2 linked regions of the Coturnix japonica genome follow. Each later gene encodes a partner of the first gene's protein in a complex. Links are inferred from orthologs where the notes say so. Each region holds a gene or a part of one and is shown on either strand. Other genes may lie near its edges.

What was found.
Region 2: the proteins of SERPINA10 (region 1) and PROZ are in contact, whole or in part, in a crystal structure (PDB 3H5C), measured with the Homo sapiens proteins. The link is inferred for Coturnix japonica from reciprocal best matches to the Homo sapiens genes SERPINA10 and PROZ. Residues at the interface, in NP_001094077.1 of Homo sapiens: Arg88, Lys89, Ser91, Met92, His94, Asp95, His257, Asp259, Lys260, Tyr261, Asn282, Phe283, Lys305, Met306, Asp308, His309, Leu310, Ala311, Leu312, Asp314, Tyr315, Leu316; in NP_003882.1 of Homo sapiens: Cys129, Pro131, Cys141, Leu142, Pro143, Ser151, His250, Met251, Arg252, Asp254, Ala257, Glu259, Asn260, Glu284, Lys285, Asp286, Phe287, His290, Leu291, Thr336, Thr337, Arg338, Arg390, Ser392, Leu393, Trp394, Gln397.

Annotation. Positions count from the first base shown.
Region 1 is NC_029520.1:41,271,902-41,276,255, reverse strand, and holds the start of SERPINA10 (protein Z-dependent protease inhibitor), read left to right. Parts: upstream 1-1,458; 5' UTR 1,459-1,563; intron 1,564-4,354. UniProt on the Homo sapiens protein: Inhibits activity of the coagulation protease factor Xa in the presence of PROZ, calcium and phospholipids. Also inhibits factor XIa in the absence of cofactors.
Region 2 is NC_029516.1:123,914,838-123,918,489, reverse strand, and holds the end of PROZ (vitamin K-dependent protein Z), read left to right. Parts: intron 1-43; coding exon 44-157; intron 158-238; coding exon 239-370; intron 371-1,515; coding exon 1,516-1,601; intron 1,602-1,680; coding exon 1,681-1,804; intron 1,805-2,258; coding exon 2,259-2,770; 3' UTR 2,771-3,024; downstream 3,025-3,652. UniProt on the Homo sapiens protein: Appears to assist hemostasis by binding thrombin and promoting its association with phospholipid vesicles. Inhibits activity of the coagulation protease factor Xa in the presence of SERPINA10, calcium and phospholipids.

The sequences.
Region 1 (4,354 bases):
TTGATGTTTAATCAATAGGCCAAATTATGTTAACTCAGCCCAGTCTCATATTCATGTGCTCTCTAAAACACTGTCTATACTTCAGGCCTAGAAGTAAAAGAATTGCTTTTAAAAATAAGGCTATTTTAAAAGAGCTTTATCAAATGAATAATGTTTACCAGCAACACACAACTCCTTTTTGCACCAAGTCCTGGATGCTCAGTTCCTTTATTGTCTTTCCAAAATAACATCCTTGGATCTGGCTAAGCTCCCACTTAAATTGCAAGCAGTGGATGTTCTTTTGTTGTTTGTTTTTGTTTGTTTGTTTCAATTCAATTGACAATTAGAGACAAATTCTGTAATGTCAAATTATAAGGCCTTATTTTTTAAATTTATTTTCTGCAATCCAAATCAGAATGAAACATTCTGTTTCATTTAGGAGTGTTGTTTTTATAGATGTAATTTAGGAGCATGAGGAATTCTGTGTTCACAGTTCACTGGGAAATAAGACAATGAACAAAATAGTGAAGAGTGATCATGCCCACACTACAGCAATTACTGAATAGACTACCTGTCTTAAAGTCGTGCCTTGCCCAACTAACAGTGCTCAAGCTTCAAGAACAACTTATCAGATCAGTTCAGGCAAGATCAAACTGGAAATTCTGGAGAACTTCTGCAGGAATACTATCATAGGACAAGGTGGAGTGGTTTTAAGCTCAAGGTAATAAGGTTTAGATTGAATGTCAGGGGGAAGTTCTTCACAGAGAGGTTGGTGAGGTGCTGGAACAGGCTGCCCAGAGGGGATGCAGATGCTTCATCCCTGGAGGTGTTCAAGGCTGGGTTGAATGGGACCCTGGGCAACCTGGTCTAGTACTAGGGCAGGAGGGTTGGAATATGATGATCCCTGGAGTTCCTTCCAACCCAAGCTATCCTATGATTCTATGAATACCAGATTGCCCCATTTGGTCATTTATAGGAAGAACATTGCTCTGTGTTTACCACTTGTTAATTCTCACATACTCATAAATACTTTACTGAATATGCTCTTGGAAAAGGAAATGAAGCCCCGGTCTCTCCTCTAAAAGGAAAGACCACACTGAAAGGATAGGGAGCTGACAACACCTCTGCAATGCTCAGCATCTCCTCCGTCCCTTTCTTCAGTTTGGCTTAGCCCCAGTGAATACTGATGTATCCTTTTATGAAATGTAACATTTTTAACAGGATTCGGATACTGAGTAGCTTAGGGCCTGTCTATAAAATAATTCTCATGGGCAATCCAATGTTCATCAGACATGTGTAGTCAAATCCCACTCGGCTGCTGAAGGGCTGGATGCAGAGAGTTTACTGTTCTTTTGCTTCCCATGAAAGAAATAACGTATTTACCGGAATATAACCCTCCCTCTTTATGCCATTTATGGGAAACACGTCACTCAGAGTTTATCAAGCAGTTAATTTATAACAGGCAAAGCCAGATGATCACTCTTTGGAAGAGCAAATATTTGTTGAAAATCTTCTATATGGGACAGTCACATTCACATCGTTTTTGAACGTAGTTGATTAAGTAACAGAGAAACTACCTAATAGGTAAGTTGAGATTTATCTGAATCATTTCAATTGTAAAGAGGATTATCTTACTATGTATGTTAATATTATTAAATATATTATATGTAGATAATATTTCTCATATATTCCCTAATTAGGATTATTTAAATGGTTATAGATCTTGATCAGTGTTATAATATATTGAATGTTTTTCTTACTATAGTAACTTCAAAAGAAAAAAAAAACTGAAAAAGTAACTTTATCATGTTTTTATTAACTAAATTGCCACTCCTTTTGTAAAGGAAGCTCTCAAAGCTAGTAATAATTCACTAATATCACTAATAACTCTAATTCACTCTAGCAATGTAAAAATGCAATCCTATAATGTGCAAAAATATCACCTTATTGTTACCAAAACTGTTTTATCCTAGTCCTAGAGGACATACTATATTTCTAACTGTTACTGAATGACAAAGCTGATGCAATATTTATGTTACGTTTTTGCAATCTCAGTCCTGCAATGACCGTATAGTGAAATGTTGAGGCTCTTAGTCCCATGATGTGTGTAACAAATGGGCATTTGTGTGTGCATGTGGAAGCAGAACTCCATCCCTGAGTGCTGAATGGTCTGGGACATGTATGTACACAAGGGCTGGGTCTGCCCATCTTCTCAGTCTGAAATCAATTTGTGCTGGGATGGCAGTGCAACCTGGCATTCCCCATTTGGTCTCCCCATCTTCCTGGGAAAACTTGGTGGCCTTTCTGAGCCAAGTATCAAGCAGCCCTTTCAGAACAAGATACAGCAGTGGCATCTGCCAAGGGCAGCGCTGTCAGGTGTTGCAGTGCACAGAGAAGATGGAGAAAATCACAGATTCATAGAATGGTTTGGGTTGGAAGGGACCTGAAAGCCTACCCATTTCCAGCTCCCTGCCATGGGCTGGTTGCCACCCATCCAACCTGTCTCTCTCTGAATGCTTCCAAGGATGGGGAGCATCCACAGCTTCTCTGGACAGTCTGTGCCAGTGCCCCACTTCCCTCTGTGATGGAATACTACCAGAAGCTATGCTTTCCAGTCCCTGTCTCTGATCTTGCAGCATTCAGGGTTACCCCTTGAAGAAGGGATGATTCCCTGGGCAAGATTCACACACTTTCAGGTCCATAGGAGTCCTTTTTGTTGCCACAGCATTGAGACAGAAGTGCCTTGTGCCTATCTAACCTCCCACAGAAGAAGGTGACTACACAATGAATAGAGGTGCTTGGCAATTGTAAGAGCTCTTAACAGCTTTGAGTTATAGTTGGTCGGGGAGAATAAGTGTCCCAAATCTGCAGAAGCAGCTAGTGCACCTTTTGCCAAGGCAGGAGATGAATTCAAGGCAAACCCTTCCTTACTCTGCTCCTGCTGAATCCAGACCTCCTAAGTGCCAGGATGTGCAGCATATCAGCTTAGATGAGGGCCAGCACATAGGGCTGAGAGCTGGGTTTTCATTTGACTTTTGGAGATTACTTCAAACACAGATTAACCAATCATGAATGCATTCATGATCTACATCTCACTGAAGACAAAGCAAGAGTTAATGGCAAAGAAAAATAAAGAAAAAATACAGCCACAGTAAATTGCATATTTTAGTGTTTCTTGACTGCCATACACTCAAGAGAAGGCACAAAATTCAGAGATCTCACTGCCTCCCCATTAAGTCATTACAGCCCATCTGTGTCACATCAAGTACAGAACGTGACCTATTATCTCCAAGAAAAATAGCACACCACCTGGCTGCCAAAAACACCCTGTGACTTGGCACCCAAATGTCTCTGTACTCGCATCAACGTACCTTTCTGAGACTAACTCCCACAGCCTGAATCAGGCAACTGTGAAATTCAGTTGAACTCTGAATAAATGGCAATCAAATAAAACCAGCTTTCCCATATGCCAAATCACAAATTGTACAATGATTGTTATAGAGCCTTAACTAAACAGCCATAGTTAATAGTTGCCATGTGTTTTCTAGATTGTTGAATTGCTTTAATTATGGGTCATACAATCAATATTTTCCTCTCAGGTTGGATTGTAGAAAAAAATTATTCACAAAAAGAGAGTGGAGATATTGGCACAGGCTGCTCAGTGAGGTGGTGGAGTCACTGTCCCTGGAAATGTTCAAGAAAAGGGTAAAGGTTGCACTGAGGGGCCATGAGTTGGTGTTTGGACTAAATGACCTTAGTGATCTTTCCAACCTTGATAGTTCTGTTTCTGTCTTTTTCACCTATTATCATGCCACTGCTACACACATGGATTCTGTGCAGGCTTAGTGGTCTTGTACATCCTGCTCAATCTGCAATGGGAAAATTCACCTGTATTCAAGACTTCTTTCATGGAGAGTAATTCAGTGCCACTTTATGGGAACAATATTCACACATCACTTTAATGGAAAGATGAATGATCAGCATATTTGCATTTCATGCTTGAAAAGCATATTTGCATGTTTGATAGTAAAGTTTGCCTAAGGCTTTTCTGGAAAACATGTCCAGATCTCCCCAAACATATTGTTTGGTGATGAGAGAACCTCTGCTAAATTTGCTCAGAATTCACAACATGTATAAATTTGTAATTGTTGAACAACTGTTTTGCCTTCGTGCTACTTGACACTGAAACACAGTACTTTCAGGCAGGATACAGCACTGACAAACCTGCTCCAGTATTTGCTGGACAGTGAAGCATAAAATGACAGGGAATCCCATGTCAGGTGATCAGAAGAATGATCTGAATGGAGTAATAAGCAACCTGTATCAGAAGGAAGTGAATTGAAATTATGCAATGCAATTGTTACTCATAATGACA
Region 2 (3,652 bases), on another chromosome or scaffold:
AGTATTTCACCAACTCCATCTACATCTGGCCATCCTTCCCCAGGTGGATGGAGGTGCTCCTCCAGCCCATGCCAGCACGGCGGCCTGTGCGAGGACAGCATCCGTGGCTACACCTGTACCTGCACCGTGGGCTTTGAGGGGGAAGACTGCGCCTTTGGTGAGGCAATGCTTCCAGGACACAGCCTTGGACCCTTTGACTCTTGGTTACTAATGCTTTTTCTCTGTCTGCTCCATTCAGCTAAAAATGAATGCCGGCACCAAGGGAAAGAAGGATGCCAGCACTTCTGCTACCCAGGAAGTAATTCCTACCATTGCTCCTGCGCTGATGGCTATGAGCTTGGGAAGGACAAAAAACAGTGCATCCCATTAGGTAGGTGTGAGTGTGGAAAATAGAGGACCCACACTTGGTGCTTGGGTGGGCAGAAACATTACTGGCCTCTCAAAATGGGGAGAGAAAAAGGAGGAATCTAAGGATCACTACCAAAGATGCATGAGCAGCAGTAAAATAAGCAATATTTGATCAGAACTTTTGAACATGAGTGTGCAGCGAACACTTGCATCACTCTACACTACACTTAACCCAATGTTACAAGTTTTCCACTCTTACTTTTTTAACCTCAGTAACAAGTAACTGATATCCTGCCTGTTTGAGACTGAGGTTTGGTTGATTCGGATCAGGCATGTGATGGTATGATAAATGAAGGGCAGAACTTGCTGCCATGTTAGTTTGAAGTGGTAGCTCTCTTCATTGTTTCATTCAAAGTACCTCATTCAACCTCATCTCCTTTTATGCAAGGCCTACTAAAAGCAAAGTAGAATGCTTGGTCCCTGTCTATGCTAACAAGTAGGAGAGCCAAATACAGTTTGCAGCTGTGGCTTTTGATGAAGATTTAATGATCACAGCAAGTGCTCAACTCAGATGGGTTTTACTTCAGACAGCTCTAATTTGGTAAGGAGGGCTAAATGCCATTATCTGTTAGAGCACATGGTTACAGGGGCTTAGTTCTGATTCAGCTTCACCTGAACAGAATTTGGTTTACGTGATCCAAGAGGAGAACTCAAGGTGTCAGAAGGTGTTGTGAATGCAAATTAACTGAGATCTACTTGAAATGCAGGCTCCCCCTCTGAACCAGAACACGAAGGCATCCCCCTTATAGTCTTAACTTCAGAAATGAAGGCTGAGAATTACCCTGCCCAGATACGAAGATGAGGAAGCAACCTGTGATGACAGTTGGCTGGAGAGGAAGCTCTGTTCCTAAGTCACAGGCAGTGAAATCTGGTCACCACAAGCCTAACACAGTGACCAAACCATCCAGTGCCACCAGACAACACATGTTAAATTAATTATTCTGATTTTCACCAGCTGAGAAATTGTCCTTTACCCAAACACTACAGCATATAAGGAATGAATAATATACAGATAGTTTTTGTCTTGAAATGTTACAGCATGAGTTGTTTTGTTTTGTTTTGGGGGGTGTTGTTTTTGTTGTTGTTGTTTGTCTGTTTGTTTGCTAGATCAATGTGCATGTGGCACACTTCAAGACAGCGACAACCTGATTGGTGAAACCCCAAAGGAACATGGCAAACAATTTCCTTGGCAGGTATTTCTAGCAGTTCATGAAGTCTATTACTCAACTTCCTGTGGACAGAACTACTTATCTTCCTTTTGTATTTTCTTAGGTCCTGTTGCTAAACTCAGAAGGGAAAGGTTTCTGTGGAGGAGTGCTGCTGAAAAGCAATTTTGTACTGACCACGGCACAGTGTGCCCTTCTGCACAATCACTTTAAAATCAGGGTTGGCGCTGGTAGGTGATCAAACATTTTCTTTGGTTGTAGCACTTTTCAGCATGGATAAGCTAAACTGGGTTCATTTAGAGTTCACTTGCTCTGCACCCCCAAGGAAAGAAACTACTCGTGCCCAAATTCAGTTCTATTGGTGGGTGTTTATCCTTCCCATCTGAATTATCACAGTACCACAGAATCACAGTCTTGTGCGGGTTGGAAGGGACCTCAGAGATCATCGAGTCCAACCCCCGGGATTCGAGCCTCCTGTGTAGCAGAGCGGCACTTACGGATGCATCTACCCAAGACTGAAGCTGTCATTCTTAGTTCACCTTTAACATACGTGTTTCAAGAAAGCATCTTTCTCTAGCGTACATACTCCTCAGCACAACTAGGCAGCTGTTACCAATGTGCATGCAGTTATCAAGTCTCTGGTAATTTCTTCCTAAGAGCAGTCAACATGTCATTGCTTCACAGGGTGTAACAGAACAAGCGGAGCTGAGAAGATCATGGAAATTCATGAGAAACACATACACATCCGGTATGATGAAGACACCGGTGAGAATGACATTGCACTCCTACAACTCCAAGAGCACATTGAGTGCAGTAACCACCAGCTTCCTGTATGCATCCCTGAAAGAGACTTTGCAGAACACATTTTGATTCCCAAATTGGCTGGTACAGTCACTGGTTGGAAAATGGAAGGTGGTGAATTTCAAAGCGACGGGTTGCAGGTTTCATATCTCCCCACCGAGGACTGTGAACAAATACTCAACGTAAGCCTCACAAACAGGCAGTTCTGTGGACACAGCCAGGAGGCCATAGACAAACAGCTGGCTGGAGGGAGCTTTATTGCCACTGTGTATAAAGGCACGTGGTTTCTGACTGGTATCCTGGGACCTTGGCCACTAGAAGATGCTGACAGGAAAACATTTTTATTTACCAACACTGCTAGGTACATGATATGGTTTAAACAAAAAATGAAGTAAGAAGCAAACACAACCAATCCTCCAACACCAAACCCCTACCAATCGCTGCAAGGAAACACGAGGAAGCAACCAGTAGAGCCACCTGGCTATCACAATTTGCAGCAGTGGAAGTTGCAATGATGATACCCTATTTAACTCCAGTTCGTACAGAAAAGCCCATCTGTCTTTCCTTCCTCTGTTGACACACAGTACTGTAAAAGCCATGACGGAAAACCTAGCTGCTTTGCTAATAAACAGACTGAACTTTAAGTTTACTAAACTGTTTGCTCTAAAACTGAAAAAGTACTAATGCTTTTCTAGTCTTTTAAATGTTGCTAGAGTAAGTCTTTCTCATACTTGCTATCCTTAGGTCTGATTGAAGAAACCCATACTCTTACTTCAGCATTTGTAGAAGTACAATTTATAAAGACAAGGGACACTCCAAGCATTTAAATGTGTATGTTGATAAAGGATCTGATTCTCTCATCACACTGAACATTTTTCTTGGTAGCTGTGTTTTGCCGTAGGAATTATGTCTGCTTCACTGTATACTTCAGTTAGCGAGTAAAATAAAATCAGACTGTCAAAGAGGGGGGAAAAATGTTTTATTTTCTTTAAAAAAATAAACAACTAAAAACTGAAAAAACACTAGAACTATCCCCTCATAACCAACAGGTACAATGTAACCCTCCTCTTTCCTACTTCCAAAAGAGAACAAAAAACCCTGAACAAACACACAACAGAAGGAACACTTAAAACATTGGACCCGGTGGCAGTCTCTTCCCAGGAAGCAGAATAAAACAGAATACAGGTAAGTTATTTAGATGCACTCTTTTGTTCATCACAGTAAATTTTAAACAAAACATTAAAGGAATTTTAATGGTAGGACAACCAACAAAGCTA